2 linked regions of the Cricetulus griseus genome follow. The protein of the gene in region 1 purifies or fractionates together with the protein of each later gene. This does not show direct contact. Links are inferred from orthologs where the notes say so. Each region holds a gene or a part of one and is shown in the gene's direction. Other genes may lie near its edges. The genes, in order: Vps4a and Zfyve19.

The links.
Region 2: the proteins of Vps4a (region 1) and Zfyve19 purify together in Homo sapiens (affinity purification with mass spectrometry; 3 studies listed by BioGRID and IntAct, counting the BioPlex papers as one, with this or other methods). This does not show direct contact. The link is inferred for Cricetulus griseus from reciprocal best matches to the Homo sapiens genes VPS4A and ZFYVE19.

The regions. Positions count from the first base shown.
Region 1 is NC_048596.1:183,344,479-183,348,986, forward strand, and holds the start of Vps4a (vacuolar protein sorting-associated protein 4A), read left to right. Parts: upstream 1-1,646; 5' UTR 1,647-1,824; coding exon 1,825-1,845; intron 1,846-4,508. UniProt on the Homo sapiens protein: Involved in late steps of the endosomal multivesicular bodies (MVB) pathway. Recognizes membrane-associated ESCRT-III assemblies and catalyzes their disassembly, possibly in combination with membrane fission.
Region 2 is NC_048599.1:59,277,321-59,281,664, reverse strand, and holds the start of Zfyve19 (abscission/NoCut checkpoint regulator), read left to right. Parts: upstream 1-1,321; 5' UTR 1,322-1,547; coding exon 1,548-1,601; intron 1,602-2,997; coding exon 2,998-3,119; intron 3,120-3,285; coding exon 3,286-3,336; intron 3,337-3,668; coding exon 3,669-3,787; intron 3,788-3,879; coding exon 3,880-4,025; intron 4,026-4,344. Other genes in the region: Dnajc17 (dnaJ homolog subfamily C member 17), read right to left, coding at 1,109-1,186. UniProt on the Homo sapiens protein: Key regulator of abscission step in cytokinesis: part of the cytokinesis checkpoint, a process required to delay abscission to prevent both premature resolution of intercellular chromosome bridges and accumulation of DNA damage.

The DNA.
Region 1 (4,508 bases):
TCCTGGGGAGCAGAAAGGGTATGGGATGGGTAGGGTGTTAGTTGGGGGAGGGCAGGGGAGGAGGGGAGGGAGAAGGACCTGGGATTGACATGTTAAATAATTATCTTTCTAATTAAAATAATAATAATAAAAAGAATTCTGCCTGGAAGCCCGGTGTTGATGGCAGACGCCTTGGGGGGCAGAGGCAAGTGGATCTCAGTGAGTTCAAGGCCAGCCTGGTCTACAAAGCGAGTTCCAAGACTTCCAGGACTGTTACACAGAGAAAACCCTGCCTCAAAAAACAAAACACCCCCACCTAAAAGAATGTGCCTGGAAAAAAAAAGAGAGAAGAAAAAACATTTTTCACTGCGGTGGGTTAACTCAGTGGTATTGCTGAGGGGAGGGCCTAAGTTCAATTAAAAGTATCACAAAGGGCTGGAGAGATGGCTCAGAGGTCCTGAGTTCAATTCCCAGCAACCACATGGTGGCTCACAGCTATCTGTTATGAGATCTGGTACTCTCTTCTGGTGTGCAGATATACAGGGAAGTACAATGTTGTATACGTAATAAATAAAATCTTTTAAAAAAAGTACCACAAAAACAAAACGAACAAAATAATAGTTTCCTAAGAGAAAGGTTAACTAACATTTTGAAATAAACATTTACATTTATAGATTTGGGTGGGTGGGGAATATGGGGCTCAGAGGGCAATTCTAAGAAGTCAGTTCTCTCCTTCCAACCTGGTGAACAACTGCTTTTACTTGCTGAGCCACCTCTTTGGCCAGAAAGGTTGACACTTAAAAACTAGCACAGAGGTTAAGAGCACTGGCTGCTCTTCCTGAGGTCCTGAGTTCAATTCCCAACAGATGGCTCACAACCATCTGTAAAGAGATTGGTGCCCTCTTCTGGCCTGCAGTCTCACATGCAGACACAACACTATACATCATAAATAAATTTTAAAAATAAAACCTAGCACGCCTTTAATCCCAGCACTCGGGAGGCAGAGGCAGGCGGATCTCTGGGAGTTCAAGGGCAGCCTGGTCTACAGATAGAGCTAGGGCAATGCAGGGAAACCCTGTCTCGAAAAACAAAACAATAAGAATAAAACTATCACAAAACTGGCGAAGTCATGAGGTAAATACTAATTATCATAACCTATTAAATAGCCAGAAAACACAGCTCCAGGAAGTTAGATTTACTTTTCTGGTGATATTAACTCCAGTGGGGTCCTGATTGTACTTGGTCCCTGCCCTCCCTCCTCCCCCTCCCCTCCTCCCCTCCTCCTGCCCTCCCCCTCCCACTCACCCCCTCCCCACTGCCCCCGTCCTCCAAGCCCCGCCCTTCTCCGACCCGCCCCACTCTGAATCTTGGAAGCACAGCCTTTGGTTCAAAGGCTCACAGCGTGGCCCTCGTCTGGCCCCGCCTCTTATCTGGATCCCACCAGGCCCCGCCCCCTTTGGCCCCACCCCTCATGCAGGCGCCCCCACCCCTAACCTCATCCTCGCTCAGCCCCGCCTCCTACTAAGGTATTATTAGGCCTTCGCCTCGTCCCTCGTCCGGATCCCACCAGGCCCCGCCCCCCGACCGCCCCCTCTCCTTGGAGGAGAGGTGCCTGCAGTTCCGGGTCATGGCCGCTGGGTGGCAGCCGCGTGGCTCTGGCTGGGCCGCTCTGGGCCGCGCTTCTCGCTCACCCTCGGACTAGGCTCCGGCTGCTAGTGGCAGTCGGTCCCGCACCGAACGCCGACCCGCTGGGCTCCCAGCGCCTGACCCACCACCTCGGCTCCTCCGGGTCGGACCGAGGCCGCAAGCAGCGCCGCGGGGTGTGGGGCGAACCCAGGAGATGAAATGACAACGTCAACCCTCCAGGTACGTGGGCGCGGCACGACCGCGGAGGCCGAAGGCTGCAGGGCCTGCGGGCCGCTGAGCGGGCGGGCTGCGGCCTCCTCGGAGCCCGGCCTTGCGGTCCCCATAGGGCCGCCTCGTCCCACCAGTGCTGCAGCCTCTCCCATGCTCGGAGTCCAAGGGATGTCTCCACCGGGCCCCGGCCCAGGGCGAACCGGCGTGGCCCCGAGCCCGCTACGCGCAGCCGGGGCTGAACTGCCGCCTTGCAGCGGTGCCGCCTCCCCAGGTCGCTCCGGGAACGCCGTTCACTGGCTCCTGCAGCGCACCCTGGCTGCCCCCTGACCTTCTGCCAACGAGCCCCCTGTTTCTCAGCCAGCCACCCCTCATTCATTCCCTAGATCATGCAGGGCGATCCTGGGTGGCGCCGCCCGAAAGAAGGAAGGGCTCATTCTAGAGCTGTCAAAAAGCGTAAACACATTCAGGCCCCAGGCTTGTGTTTAAATCCCAGCCCTGCCACTCACTAGCGTGCCTGGTTTTTTGATCTTGGAATGTTGGATTTCCTCATCAGTAAAATGGGCAGTGCCCTTGTAGGGTGGTTGTCAGACGGCTCCAGACTGAATAATTCAGAGGAAGCATTGTAACATAGGTTCAGCACATCATGTGCTCCGTAAGCCTTTGCAAATAAATTCAGCGCTTGGGCAGAACCAAGTAAGACTTCATGAAGGAAGGGACTTTAGCCAGAGCATCGAGAGTGGGTGGCTTTCACTTACCTGTTGTTGGGGGTGGGGGGGTGGCTGGCTGCTCCAAATGGAAATACAGGAGTGGGAATCAATTGGGAGTACAAGGTTTGGAATTAGATGGAATCCAGAGCCAGAACCACCATCCACCGGCAGAATTCTTATCTGTTTACTAGGGATTAAGCCAACTTCAGCCGGATCCCACCTGCCTGGCCAGTGTTTCACTGCCTGTGAACCAAGAATGTTTTTTGTGCCGGGCTGTGGTGGCACATGCCTTTAATCCCAACACTCGTGAGGCAGAGGCAGGTGGATCTCTGAGTTTGAGGACAGTCTGCTCTACAGAGTGAGTTCCAGAACAGCCAATACTAAACAGAGAAACCCTGTCTCAACACCCCCCCCCAAGAAAGAGAGGAGAGGAGAGAGAGAGAGAGAGAGAGAGAGAGAGAGAGAGAAGAATGTTTTCGGGCATTTTTGAAACATTTAAAAAATTATCTTTATGTTTTATGTGCATCGATTGCCTACATGTATGTCTGTGTGAGGATGCTGGGTCCCCTAGAACTGGAGTTACAGTTGTGAGCCACCATGTGGATGCTGGGAATTGAACCCAGGTCCTCTGGAAAAGCCTTCAGTGCTCTTAACCACTGAGCCATCTCTCCAGCCCCGAAACAGTTTTATGTAGATAAAACACTGGTGCTATACATTTAAAGCTTACCATCCAATGCTTTTGGAGGTTTGTATCATCACCAAAGAAACTATGATGTTAGCCATTGTTCCCCAGCCATTCAGTCCCATGTAGCACACTTGTCTGTGGAGTTGCCTATTTTAGACACTTTTTTTAAAAATGTTATTCTGTGTTTGTATACATATGGTGTGTGTGTGTGTGTGTGTGTGTGTGTGTGTGTGTGTGTGTGTGTGTGTGTGTATACTAGTATGCCAGTGCCAGCAAACCCATTCCCATTCCACTGCCTGTGGGGAGGTCAGAGGATAACTTCAGGGGTCAGTTCTCTCCTTCTGGTTGTTGAGCTCAGGTTGTCAGGCTTGGTAATAAGCAGTTTGTTTCTCTGGAATTTCTTTTATAACAGCAGCAGTAGATTCTTCCCCAGGGCCTGTGATTCCCAAGTCATGTGATTCTGACCAGATTTTCAGTACCAGGCCTGAATTCCTCCAATAGATAGAGCAGGCCTCAGATCCAAGCCTACATAGTTAAGTACCCCCATAACCTCTGTGCCACTGCTACACCAGTGAGCACAGCTTGTCTGGCAGGTCAGTAGTGTAGCAACATAGCTGACTTTAGGGATACTATTGATGTCTTTTCTCACCCAGGGACCTTCATAGCACCTTCTAGCACTATGAAAGCTAGTCGGCAGGGCTGTCAGCTTGGTTTCTATTTTATTTTATTTGAAACAGGGTCTCAGTATGTAGCCCTGGCTGGAACGTGGCTATGTGGACCAGGCTGACCTCAAACTCACAAATACCTACCCGCTTCTGTCTTCCCAGACCTGGGCTTAAAATTGTGTAATACCACACCCAACTCACACTTGATTGTCTTTGTCCTGAAATCAGGCAAGCCCCTTTCTTTACCTGCTGATCCATCTTGCTGGCTCAGGTATTTTGGTTTTTCTTTTTTTTTTTTTTTTTTGTGTGTGTGTGTGTGTGTGGTGTGTGTGTGTGTGTGTGTGTTGTTGTTTTTTTTTTTTTTTTTTTTTTGAGGCAAGATTTATCTGTGTAGCCCTGCCTGACCTGGAACTCACTTTGTTGAATTCAGTGATCTGCCTGCCTCTGCCTCACAAGTGCTGGGATTAAAGGTGTGCGCCATTGACCAACTGAGATTTTCTTTAAATAAAATCATACAATGTGTGGCTCTCTGTGACTGACTTGGCTGGCTTAACTTAATGTCACAATCTTTTACATTGTTTAAATGGTTTGGAGGGAGGGCTTTTAGGCTTTCAT
Region 2 (4,344 bases), on another chromosome or scaffold:
CATTACCTAACAGGTAAAAGAATCTATGTTTAGGGGGCTGGAGAGATGGCCCAGACTGTTCTTCCAGAGGTCTTGAGTTTAATTCCCAGCAACCACATGGTGGCTCACAACCATCCGTTATGAGATCTGGTGTCCTCTTCTGGTGTTCAGATATACATGGAAGCAGAATGTTGTATACATAATAAATAAATAAAATCTTAAAAAAAAACAGGCTAAAAAAGAGTCTACGTTTAATTCTCAGCAATGCAAAATGAGTAAATGCATAAATAAATATCCTAGTTGAGTGGACAGGTGGTGGTGGCATTTACAAACATAGTGAATTCCAAGGAGGGTACAGGTTTGGGCAGGAAAGTTCAAGTGCAATTTTGGATACTGGAAGATTAGGACTCCCGTGAAACATCCGAATGGAGAGATCAGACAGGTGGACTCATATTTTTGGAATTCAGAGAAAGAACTAAATGAGAGTGAAATGTAGTGCTGGTGTTCCTCAGTATTATTGAACTGTGCAGGACCTGAGCCATGCAACAGGGGGCCTGGCTTTCAGTCCTCCTCACAATTCTGTCACTAAGATCCGCCTTCCTTCTCCCCTTGTTTAACCCGCTAAGTAGCACACGCTGGGAGGAGCAACACTGGAAAATCTGATATTTAAAAAGCGGAAAAGAAAACCGAGCTCTCTCGGTACTAGGTCTCAACGCCAAATCCAAGAAGGAGAGGCTGAGAAGGGAGTGAAGAACCTAAAGAGCTAACTTCTCTTCCCTCCCAGGACCAACCTGAAGCTAAAAAAACTGGTTTAGGAACTGAAACGAAACATCTCCACACATAGGTAAGACTGCTGCTGCGCAGGCGCAACGAAGCAGGCCCGGCTCTCAGATTCGAACCGGCGACCACACACTGTGGCCTAGGAGAGCGCAGTCAGTCACACAGTTCCGAGTCCTCAGTGCCACCCTCCCTAAAGAGGTCCTTTCTGGAAAAGCCCCAGGCCCCCCTTTTAGGCATTAGGCCGGTACTCGCTCCTGGTCCGGTATATATGGGCGGAGCATAGGGAGCCGGGACCAGGCGCCGGCCAGGCGCGAGGACCGAAGATCCGCAGTGCCTCTCGAGTTCTCACCTCTTTGTCTGCCGCCTTCTCCTCAATGCCAAGCAGCGCGTATAGATCCATCTGTAAGAGCTCTTTGGTCACCGCCATGGTTCCAGCCCTGACCGAACTGATACTACAATTCCCAGGAGTCTGAGCGCGCGCGGGGAGGCGGTACTGGCTCGGAGCCGGCCCAAAGGCGCTAAGCCCCCTGGGAATCGGCGTGATCCGGTTCAGGTTTGACTGACTGTGGATGAGCGTGTCGTGAAAAATGAACTACGACTCCCAGCATCCCACACTCCGCCGCCGCCCGCGCGGTGGCGAGCGGAGAGAGTCAGAATTCCCCGCGCTGGGCCGCAGCTGGATGGCGCAGGTGGGCGTGTAGGGCTGGGCTGCCTAGGCTGAGGGTCGGAAAGGCCTTCACTGCGTTGGTGAGAGGCGATCCTACGAATCGGCGGCGCTGAGAGACGCCATGGAGAGCAGGTGCTACGGCTGTGCAGTCAAGTTCACCCTCTTCAAGAAGGAGGCGAGTGTTCTAGAGAGCTGGAGGGCCAAGGAAGGACGCGGGGCGAAGGGAAGAGCTCGGGACTTGCAGGCCAAAGACCCAGTTTGACTGCTTCTTTCTAGTGGTGTAGTTTTGACGAAGTAACTCAGTTAACATTTCTGTAAAGAGGGGCGTATGCCCATTCGCTTTCGGGGTTAAAACTATGGTATGATGAGGTCCAGTGAGATGGCTTTGCGGGTAAATGCACTTACTGCTAAGCCTGATGACCTCAGTTGGAACCCCAGGAAGGAGAGAACTACCTCAAGTTATTCTCTGATCTCCACACACGTGCCATAGCATGCACATATCTACACACACACACACACACACACACACACACACACACACACACACAAAGAAATATTGTAAAATTGAAATAATTGTAAGGGGGGTTGGTAAGGTGTGGACCTGAAAGTACCCTATAAATTATAAAGCTTATTGCTGTCAGTTTCCAAAAGCTACGCCTTTTTCTTCTTTTTTACCAACAAGTGGAGCATCTACCTCCTGCTTCTCTCTGCTCTTCTCTTCTCCATCTCTGTCTTTACTATCCTAGGGCCGCTGCGCATCACACCATGCCCGTTACTCTCAGGTTGTATTACGAAGCTTCCACTTTCCCCTGGGCACAATGGAAAAGCTTTCTTGTTCATGACACAGGCTTACCAGGTTCTCCTTGCAAGCTTCCGGGGAGATAGAGGGGAATAAATGGGATGAGTTCATGGTGTGCAGGACGGAGCACCTCAGAGCATGCATTTGGAGTCAGGGTTCAAATCCCAGCTGTCCTGATTTACACAGTTAAGACCTAAGTTTAACAAGTCAGGTAACTCTCTGCCCCCTGTTAGAATAGAGATACTGATGTGGGCATCAGGATCAAATATGACACTGTGTGTAAATTATGAGGTTGGATCAGATGATGAATTTTAAGGTTCAAGCTGTGTGCCTGGTACACACTAAGCACTTAATAACTGAAGCTATTGTTAATGCCCTTATCCTGAGCCCAACCTCCCACCATCTTGCCCGAGCAGAGAAAGCACAGTATCTACACTCTGTCTGATTCTCTTTTGTTGACTAGCCAGTGACCTGACTCACAGAGCTTTGTTTGTCTTTGTTCTTCACCCCCATGGTAAGAAACTAAAAATGGCAGAAAGCATGTGAGTTTTGCCTGAAATTTTATCTGATCGGAACAAGACTCTGGAAACCAAGGGCTTGTTGTGCCCTCTACTCCATCTCTCCCTGGACCCTGGGGATCCCACTCCTCTTCCTTCCTCCAACATCTGGTCACAACTTTAATTTCTTCTTTCTGTGAGTGCTTAGAGAGTCCCAGAGAAGAGCCAACAGGGGTGGGTGAGAAACGGATCCTCCTGCTTCGTGTTTCTTATAGTATGGCTGTAAGAACTGTGGCCGGGCCTTCTGTAGCGGCTGTCTTAGCTTCAACGCTCTGGTACCTCGGGCTGGCAACACTCAACAGAAAGTCTGCAAGCAGTGCCACACAGTCCTGACCAGGTGAGAGATGGGCATGGGCAAGGGTTCAGACAGATGTGACACTAAGCATCTGACCAGGCCCTGTGGCCTTGTGCTCCCTGGCCAGAGGTCTGCCTAGGAAGTATTTGGTGTAGAAATCACTGCTGGGTGGCATGATGGGACTTCTCACACCAAATTCCTTCTCTAGAGGGCCTCCCGACAATACCTCCAAGTGGTCGCCACCTCAGAACTACAAGAAGTAAGTACTGAAAAAAAGACAAGTGGGGATGGCAAAGGACAAGGACACCAGTAGCAGGGCTCTCCTTCCAATCTGCAGACCACATGGGTGCAGACCTTTGGGCTCCTGCTTCCCTCTTGGATTCTGAAAGCAGCTCATTAATCTGTTCTCAGAAAAGGCATCTGGGAGCTCTTTCCCTGTTAGACATACCCTACAGCTGGTCAGCTGGGTTGGGCTGCAGTACCACATAAATAGAGGTCACAGAAGACTGCCTGTAGAGGCCCCAATTGATTTGGATGGGTGCCTTCAGTCTTCCCCTTTGCCTTAAGAGTGTCTGCCTCATATCCTCCTAGGCGTGTGGCAGCCTTGGAAGCCAAGAAAAAGCCCAGCATTTCCCAGAGCCAGGGCTTGACCCAACAAGACCAAGCCATCGCTGATCGCCTAGCACGGCTCCGTCAGGAAAACAAGCCCAGTGAGTTTAAGTGTACAGGGGGACCTCAAAGGCAGGGTGCAGGGCTTGGGACTGAGCTGCCTCCAGCCCTTACAAACACTTGCCAATTGCAGAGTCAGTACCCTCACAAGCAGAGATAGAGGCACGGCTAGCTGCCCTGAAGGATGAAGTCCAGGGCGCCATCCCTTCCACACGAGAAATGGAGGATCGGCTTGCAGCATTACAGGGCAGAGTACCACCTTCTCACACCGTGAGACCGGTGAGTGTTGTGGCTTGGGAGAGAAGGGTTTCCTAGGGCAAGCTCCCTACAGAAGCCCAGATACATGTATGATCATGTGCTTTGCAGGAGTTAGTAAAGCCTCTCACCCCTACCTCCTGAGCCTTAGGCCTGCTCTCAAGCCAAAGACCAGTGCCAAGCAGCAGGACTGAGTGCGTCAGCAAAGAGTGGATACTCAGTCCTGTTGGGAGCTGCCAACCTACTCACCTATGTGGACCTTGAATTCATCCCTTTCCATGGGCTTTGAAAACTCTTCAGCATCCACCCCTGACTCAGACCTCTTCTGGACTTCTGGTGTGGC